Linked DNA regions of Bombyx mori. The protein of the gene in region 1 interacts with the protein of each later gene in a pairwise test. Links are inferred from orthologs where the notes say so. Each region holds a gene or a part of one and is shown on either strand. Other genes may lie near its edges.

Evidence for each region. The genes of interacting proteins can lie anywhere in the genome.
Region 2: the proteins of anaphase-promoting complex subunit 2 (region 1) and anaphase promoting complex subunit 11 interact in a two-hybrid assay, tested with the Drosophila melanogaster proteins (2 studies listed by BioGRID). The link is inferred for Bombyx mori from reciprocal best matches to the Drosophila melanogaster genes mr and lmgA.

The regions. Positions count from the first base shown.
Region 1 is NC_085131.1:8,614,760-8,618,941, reverse strand, and holds anaphase-promoting complex subunit 2, read left to right. Parts: upstream 1-1,320; 5' UTR 1,321-1,451; coding exon 1,452-3,785; 3' UTR 3,786-3,832; downstream 3,833-4,182.
Region 2 is NC_085118.1:13,747,144-13,751,331, forward strand, and holds the start of anaphase promoting complex subunit 11, read left to right. Parts: upstream 1-1,497; 5' UTR 1,498-1,679; coding exon 1,680-1,698; intron 1,699-1,708; exon of another isoform or gene 1,709-1,912; coding exon 1,913-2,148; 3' UTR 2,149-2,155; exon of another isoform or gene 2,156-3,196; intron 3,197-4,188.

The sequences.
Region 1 (4,182 bases):
TGTATACATTTATTCAACTAATACAATTAATTAAACAAAAAATGAGTAATTTCGAAAGAGAACAAACGTATTTTATATAAGAACAATCGAAAATGAATATTTACGAGTAATTAAGGACGAAAAAATTTTAAAAATTGCAATCGAGGGGCTAACTTTTAGATATATTTTTAATATTTTTTTTAAAATAAATAAATGGGGAACAAACAATTATTAACAATGAACAATCAAGAACAAATGATGAACAAACGAATTAATAGAAAATAAGTAGAAAACAGGAAAAAAAAATTTTTTTGAGGGGCTAACTTCATTCACCTATAAAATCACACCATTTAATTTATAACAAAGGCCAAAACCATATATTTTGTTGTGAGAAAAGTGAAATAGGAATTTTGCACAAAAAAAATCCGGCGAGTTATTTAGCCGCGTGGAACTAAATTAAATGTCAGAAATATTGGAGCTCAATGAATTTGGCCCCCCCCCCTTTGTAATTATTGGATTTTTTATTTTTAATTGTTATTTCGTCTTTTATTTATTTATAATTAATTAAACAAATGATCACCCTTAAGTCGGCCCCTCTTACTAGATGTCTTTATTTCTATCACTCAGACTAATTAATTTTGATCAATTATCGTTTGTTCGGCGACTATTGGTGATTGTTGCATCATAAAAACAAATAAATTCCCAATTATTAATTATTTTATATCTATTAAGCAATCAGGCCTATATTGTGCATGCGCCGGTTTTGTCAGTCACCTATCAATGGCCGTATTTACTAGCGTTTTGTTAACAAGTGCGCTTAAACTGTCTAATTATTTCCTAGGTAGATCAAAAAAATATTGAAAACTTCAACAATACTTCAACAAAAAAATGTCAGTGAAGACGACCAATTAGTCGTTAAAGTACGATTCGCCCGGTTTTAATAAATTCAGTTATTTTTAATTATATTGAATATTAACAACCATATAGAAATTTCAGTGATTTCTAATTATTCTAAGAATATTAAATTAATAATTGGGAATTTAATTGTTTTTATGATCGAGCAATCACCAGTAGTTGTCGAACAAACGATAATTGATCACAATTAATTAATCTGATCGATAAAAATAAAGATATTTTGTAAGAGGGGCTAACTTAAGAGTGATCATTTGTTTAATTATAAATAAATAATGGACGAACAAACAATTTTTACATTCGAACATTAACGAACAAACGACGAATAAATAATTAAAATTAAAAAAATATATTTGAAAATTAAAAAAAGGAGGCCAAATTCAGCTAAAATACTAACTCTATGGCACAGGACCACAGATCATAGATTAGACACTTAATATCCACAGATTAATATATTAGGATTGAACGCAAAGAGTAAAGTGTAAACATTAATTAATTTATTTATGAGGATATCGTTCTTAGATCTTAGATCTTATGTATAAGATAACTGACCTGCAATAATGATGAATATAAATCATAAAAAGGAAGATTTGAAACTGTACTGGAATAAAATAAACTATGCCTATCCAATTCTCGATGATAAAATTTTCAGCGACTGTACTGAGGCTGAATACGATGAAGTGCAAGTGTTAATAGTTAATTTGGGTGTCCAAATAAAGATACGTGATCTTGTATTTGTTCATATTGAGAAATATCTACGACAACATGTCGCATCTAGTTTTTGGTCAAAATATATTAAGACCGCGGAAGAAGTTAAAGGATTTCAACTATTTAAATCTTCAGTGAATGATCTCTATGAAGCAGTTTCTAGTTTCTCACCCATGTTACAAAGATTGACTAAATTGAACAGTAGTTGTAATGATAATAAGTTAATTTATGGCGAGAAAAATCTTGTATTAGGTTTTAAGCAGCTCGTCCGAGCTACTCTTCTGTCTCAGTTACCCATCGACTTTCAGTGTATTATAAACCAATTCTACAAAATATCTTTTAATGTTTTCGATAATGAATATGAAAACTCCGACATGGGCGAGGACATAATGTGTTCTGGTTGTGGAAACGAGTATTCCGATTGTAACTGTGCATACATTGTGAAAGTATTTCATGAAACAAATAGGAAGTTGGTGGAGTTACAATTGTTAGAAAGACTCACAGGTCAAGTTCTAACTAATTTCATCCAGTTGAGAATTCAGTCTCATATACAGAAAGTATGTACTGGCACTTTTGATGTGTCCCACATTGAAGCATTAGAAAGTTGGCTTAATACGACAGTAATGTCTTGGTTGATCAGAATTTATTGTGCTGGCTCCTCCAAACCTCCACCTGATGATAAAAATATACAAAATGCAATCTCAAGATTCAAACAGAAACTCACTTACTATCTCTATCATAGCTACACAAAAACAAGAATTGATCAGCTCTTCAACATCATTATAGAATATCCTGATTCCCAGCCTGCTGTTGATGACATCAAAATTTGTTTAGCAAAAACAGATTTGAGACCAACTCTATGTAAAAAGTTACAGAATGCATTAGAAACAAGGCTTCTTCACCCAGGCGTGAACACTCCTGACATACTCACTGCTTACATATCTACTATTAGAGCTTTGAGACACCTAGATCCTTCTGGTGTTATACTGGAAACAGTGACAAAACCTGTTCGTAATTATTTAAGAAGTAGAGAAGATACAGTGAGGAGTGTTGTGAGCAGTTTGACAGAAGAAGGTGCTGGTAGTGAGTTAGCTGAAGAGCTAGCTAAATTTGCAGCAGAAGGAGATGGCGATGCCGATAAAGATGAGGCTTGGGATGAATGGAATCCTGATCCAGTTGATGCTGATCCCAAAGTTGATTCAAATGACAGAAGAACTAATGATATTATATCTATGCTTGTTAATGTTTATGGTAGCAAGGAATTGTTTGTTAATGAATATAGAACTTTACTAGCTGATAGATTACTGGCTCAAAGTGTTATCAATACAGAAAAAGAAATTAGGTACCTGGAGCTATTAAAAATAAGATTTGGTGAATCACAATTACACTTCTGTGAAGTCATGCTTAAAGATATATCAGATTCAAAGAGAATTAATTCCTTAATACATCAGGACAAAACCATTGAGGAGCTGAATAAGAAATTTACTTCTAATGCAATGATTTTATCTGCACAGTTTTGGCCACCATTTAAAGATGAAAGTCTGGAATTACCAGAAGAAATCAAGGAACATTTTGAAGCATACACTAAATCTTATGAAGCTTTAAAAGGTAATCGAACATTAAGCTGGAAACCACACCTTGGAAATGTAAACTTAGAGATAGAAATAGGCGAAAAGAAGTTAGATCTGACAGTTTCACCTTTTAATGCGACATTGATAATGCATTTCCAAAATAAATCTGAATGGACGTTAGATGAACTCCATCAGGTGATGAAAGTTCCTATTACTATTCTGAGAAGGAAAATAACATACTGGCAATCGATGGGTTTAATAGCAGAAAAAAGTACAGATCACTTTGTTTTAGTTGAAGCTGATAATAAAGCCAGTGTACCTTCACATCAAGTACAGGAAATGATTTGTGAAGATGAAGAAACGGAGAGTGCCATGGCATCAGCACATGATCAGCGGGAAGGTGAACTGCAAGTTTTTTGGTCTTATATTGTAGGCATGTTAACAAACTTGGACTGTTTGCCTTTGGACAGAATACATCAAATGTTGAAGATGTTTGCTTCCCAAGCTCCAGGCACTGAATGCAGTCTTATGGAGCTGAGACAATTTTTAGACACAAAAGTAAGAACACATCAACTGGTACTTCAAGGAGGCATGTACAAATTGCCTAAGACATAGATGTTAATATTTATCAGAAATAAAAAAGAACTTGAAAGTTAACAAAACTTTATTTTCACCTTTTATATATTAATTTGGTTACATTACATGTCTATTTAAGTTAAAAGTTCAGATGCTTAAAACAATTTCTTTAAGCTGTTCCATCAACAAAATACATTATAAATTAAAATAAGTAATACCACCACTTGACTATAAAATAATACGAATAACATTTAAATACTTAGTGAATTTAATACATTATCATGTGTCAGTCTTAATATCTATTAAAATACTGTTTAAATTAAGAAGTAAGAATAAATAAATAAAACTAATTTGACAAGAAAAACATACTGGAGATAATACAGATTCATTATAAATATGCAGGGTGGAATGCATTTGGTCTAAAAAAAATTAATTG
Region 2 (4,188 bases), on another chromosome or scaffold:
AGTTATAACAATATTTTTTAAATTTGTTGGTAAAAATCTGGTTTATTCGTGATGTTTTTGTCTAGAACTTTTATTCAAAATTATCAATGTTTTATTTTATTGTTTGGTAAATATTTATATTATCAGTTACGTATTGTTTTCTGTTTTTAGATATGCCTCGCGTGTACGTATCAAAGAATGCAAAGCCTTATAAGAGATATTATCCCTTAATATTAAAAACAGCAATTAGGAAATTTTCTATTTGGGAATAAGTCTTTAGTTGAAATAGCTAAGCAATTTAATATAAGTAAGTCAATTTTGCACAGACATGTAATAAGAACAATGAAATCTCAAGGTGGACAAAAATGTCTAAGTAATACATAATAAAATATTTATTATTTGTTCAGAGTGTCCGTTTTTTAATGTTTTTTATTGATGATCACTTTGTTGGTGCAACTAAATAAATAAATTAAAACCAAGTAGTGCCCACCCTAGCAAATTTCTCATTTCGTCCCAATTAACCGCAATTTCCGGGTAAATAGGGATTACACCTATTTTTGCTTTTTTTGCTTAAACTGGAATGCTAGTTGCATAGTTTTAAATTGGACAACAAAGATGCTCCCAAGACTCAATCATTTTGATCCTGATATAGCATTATATACATCAACAACTACCTTAAAATTGGTCATAAAGATGGAATTTGTCCCTAATCGCCCCATTTTACCGGTACTTGCGTATTTCAAGTTGCTTCCGCTTGCAGTTCTTTCACTGAAGTTCCAGTACATGTGTAATTTCTATTTTTAGTATTGTTTAAAAGTGATTTATTAAAGACCTTGTTTAGTTTTTAGTTCTTTTTATTTCAAATGATTTTTAGTAGTTTAATTGAGTTTGGTAATTTTTTTTTATTTCACTTAACATCATTTCAAAATATGGTACTCGTTTATGACTTCGTTTCATGTATCGATCCCCGTGCCTATCAGATTTTGAAATAAAATAATAAAAATTACACTTTGAAAATTTTCGAATTAACATCTGACAATTTTTTTAGCGGGAACGCAAGGCGCTAAGTTCTGTTAATTTTGTTAAAGTAGTGCTCATGTTTAAACGTGTAATAACGGTGATTATTACACTATTATTATACTATATTACATTATTAACTGTTTAGTATCTCTGAAGGTGCACAAATGTGGGAAAATGAAACAAATTCGCTGGACGTAGCTTCTCAAAAGCTTCCAAAAAGTCTTGGTGCATAACCACCACTCCACTGAGACTATATTTCATCACATCTCATCTCATTTCATTAACATCCTAATTGATTTACTGTCTCAAATTAATAAACTTCATCTCATTTCGCTCTATGGTTTTTCAAAACACAGAATTCACAGAATACACAAAAAATACGCTGTATGGTGTGATACCTTCGTTTTTCCAGTTCAAAAAATAAAGTAGCCGATAAGACTGACATATGACTGACATTAAAAACAAATTTATTTGATCTTACTTGATTTTACTTCAGTGGTTAGATTAATAAAATAAACATTATATTTTTAAAATTAGCACATAAACTTAAAGGCAAATGATAAATACTGAAAAAAATTTGTTCAGTCAACATATTATATCATAAAAATCGTTAATTTAATTATGAAGGATCTTAAGGTTAAATAAATCTAAAACTTCTATTTTAGCCTCATGATCGCGCTATGAAAGTAACTGTAAAAAGTAAGCACAATCTCTTTTTTTCATAATGTTTATTTTCCCTGGTTAATTTACACTTTATTCTTTGCAACTTAAAACACACTGACATTAAAGTAAATTAAGTAGTAATTTTTGCTAAGTGCCTTATTGTCATAGAGCACAATTCTTAAAAATTCCTCATACAAGGAAGAACCGATTGAAATTGAAATATTCACAGTAACGAGATAATTCATTTTAGGTTGGACAGGGGTTGCAACTTGGAGGTGGGTAGCAAACGACGACAATTGTGGGATTTGTCGTATGCCATTTGATAGCTGCTGTCCAGACTGCAAACTACCTGGGGACGACTGCCCTCTAGTTTGGGGTGCTTGCTCTCACTGTTTCCACATTCACTGTATCGTAAAGTGGCTACACTCTCAGCCTCAACAGCAGTGTCCTATGTGCAGACAAGACTGGAAGTTCAATAACAAGTGAAATATTCGTAAGTACATACCATAAATTAAGAAAATATAGTTTAAATAATAAATAAATATAGGTTTTTATTCTCACACTTTATTGTGTCACTGCTGTCCCATTTTGTAACTATATTTTGTTTACCAACCTATAAGGCTAGAATAATTTGGAAAAATTTATTGTTTGGTGTTTTCAAACTCAATAAGTAGTTAAATGGTTCGATGATTATAGAGTCACAAATCCTTATTAGTCATTTTTAGTTTAGTGATAACAAGTTTAAATCTCACCTTAACTTATTAATCAGGTGGTATGTAGTATAGAATATAGGGATTGATCTGCACATAATAGCAACTTTTATTATTAATGTCAGAATAATGCAAATCTAACATAAATGAAGTTGACAATATCACAACATTTTTCTTTCTTTGAAGCTTTGATTACGGAGTTCTACAGTTTCCTTCCTTTCATAATTCAGCAGAGTACTAAGTTTTAAAGACAAAAGGTTGCTACTATGCTAGTACAGATTAAATATTATTAAAGTTTTCTGTGAATTGTTGTACAAGGGATTGTCAAAAATATCATAATAACGAGGGGTGAAAGGTTATTATTTGGTTTAAGAGATAATATTCGATATTTATCTTTGTAATTAAAGGTGCATTTTATTTGATGTCAGTATAATTTTTTAATTGAACTTTAATTAAGCTAAAGAAGTTTTTTTTTTATTATGTTTTTTTTTTCAAATTTTAAACTTTAAATGGCTCTGCTATAAAGCTGCAAAAATGTCGCTCAAATCAAATAGCCTTTCACCCCGATATGAACTACTGATAAATTTAGATGTGTTGGTGAAATTAGCCTACCTTATGTTCTTTTTTTTTTTATTGCCCCTGTGGGCATACGGCCCACCTGATGGTGAGTGGTTACCGTCGCCCATGGACCTCAGCAATGCTAGGGGCAGAGCCAAGCCGCTGCCTACTGCTAAAATTTTCACTGCTTTTCCATTATTTGTATTTGGGCAGGGATTAGATGCAGTGTAGTTCGACTCCCACAACCTGAATTTGTTCAAACCACTCTGAAATTATAAATATTAGGTAATGATTATTAACAAAACATCTGTAGTGATAGAAAACAATCTCTGGAAAAATATTCTATAAGGATTCTGGATGATTTGCCTTTGGCACCAAATAATTTGGTCAAAGGGCAAATTATCTCTCCCAAAAAAACCAAAATACTGGGATACTCTTAAAATATAATCTTTATATACAGTATTTATAATATACTTTTTTACTGGGCATCGTTTCTGCCTGCACTGATAGTGACCACCATCCTACATATTTTTGCTGTGAAGCAGTAAAATGTAAACATTTGATGTGTGGAGCAGCCGATGTACTGTAAAAACTGACTTAGAAGTCATGTCACAGAATGGGTTGTGACAACTCATTAATCTCTCAGCAAAAATTAACTGTGAACCTTGCTGTCTATTCTTCGAGTTGCCTTTCGCAAAACTCACGAGAAGAGAGTGGATGCCATTCTAGGCCCTCTGGAGCTTAGTGTGCTGCATGCCGACATCGGTGTGTTTATAAACCAAAAAGGTCCCACATATTGCTTAACAGCACTTCAAAGAAATGTGATCAAAGCTGAAGTCCTGACAGGATACGTTGATGGCAAGCAATTTTTTTTGCCCCGAAATCGTCCTTTTAATTTTTTTAATTTTTCTTGTTGCTTCGATGGGTGGACGAGCTCACAGCCCACCTGATGTTAAGTGGTTATTGGAGCCCATAGACATCTACAAACTAAATACGCCACCCACGTTGAGATATAAGTTCTAAGGTCTCAGTATAGTTACAACGGCTGCCCCACCCTTCAAGCCGAAACGCATTACTGTTTCATGGCAGAAATAGGCGAAGTAGTGGTACCTACCCGCGCGGACTCACAAGAGGTCCTACCACCTACTTAATCAAATATCATTTAGTTTCAAACGCGTAATTTTTGTTTGGCAATGACGCGTAAATAATACACGCGGGGGTAGACATCTACCAGCTGCTTCGCGCATGGCCAATAGTA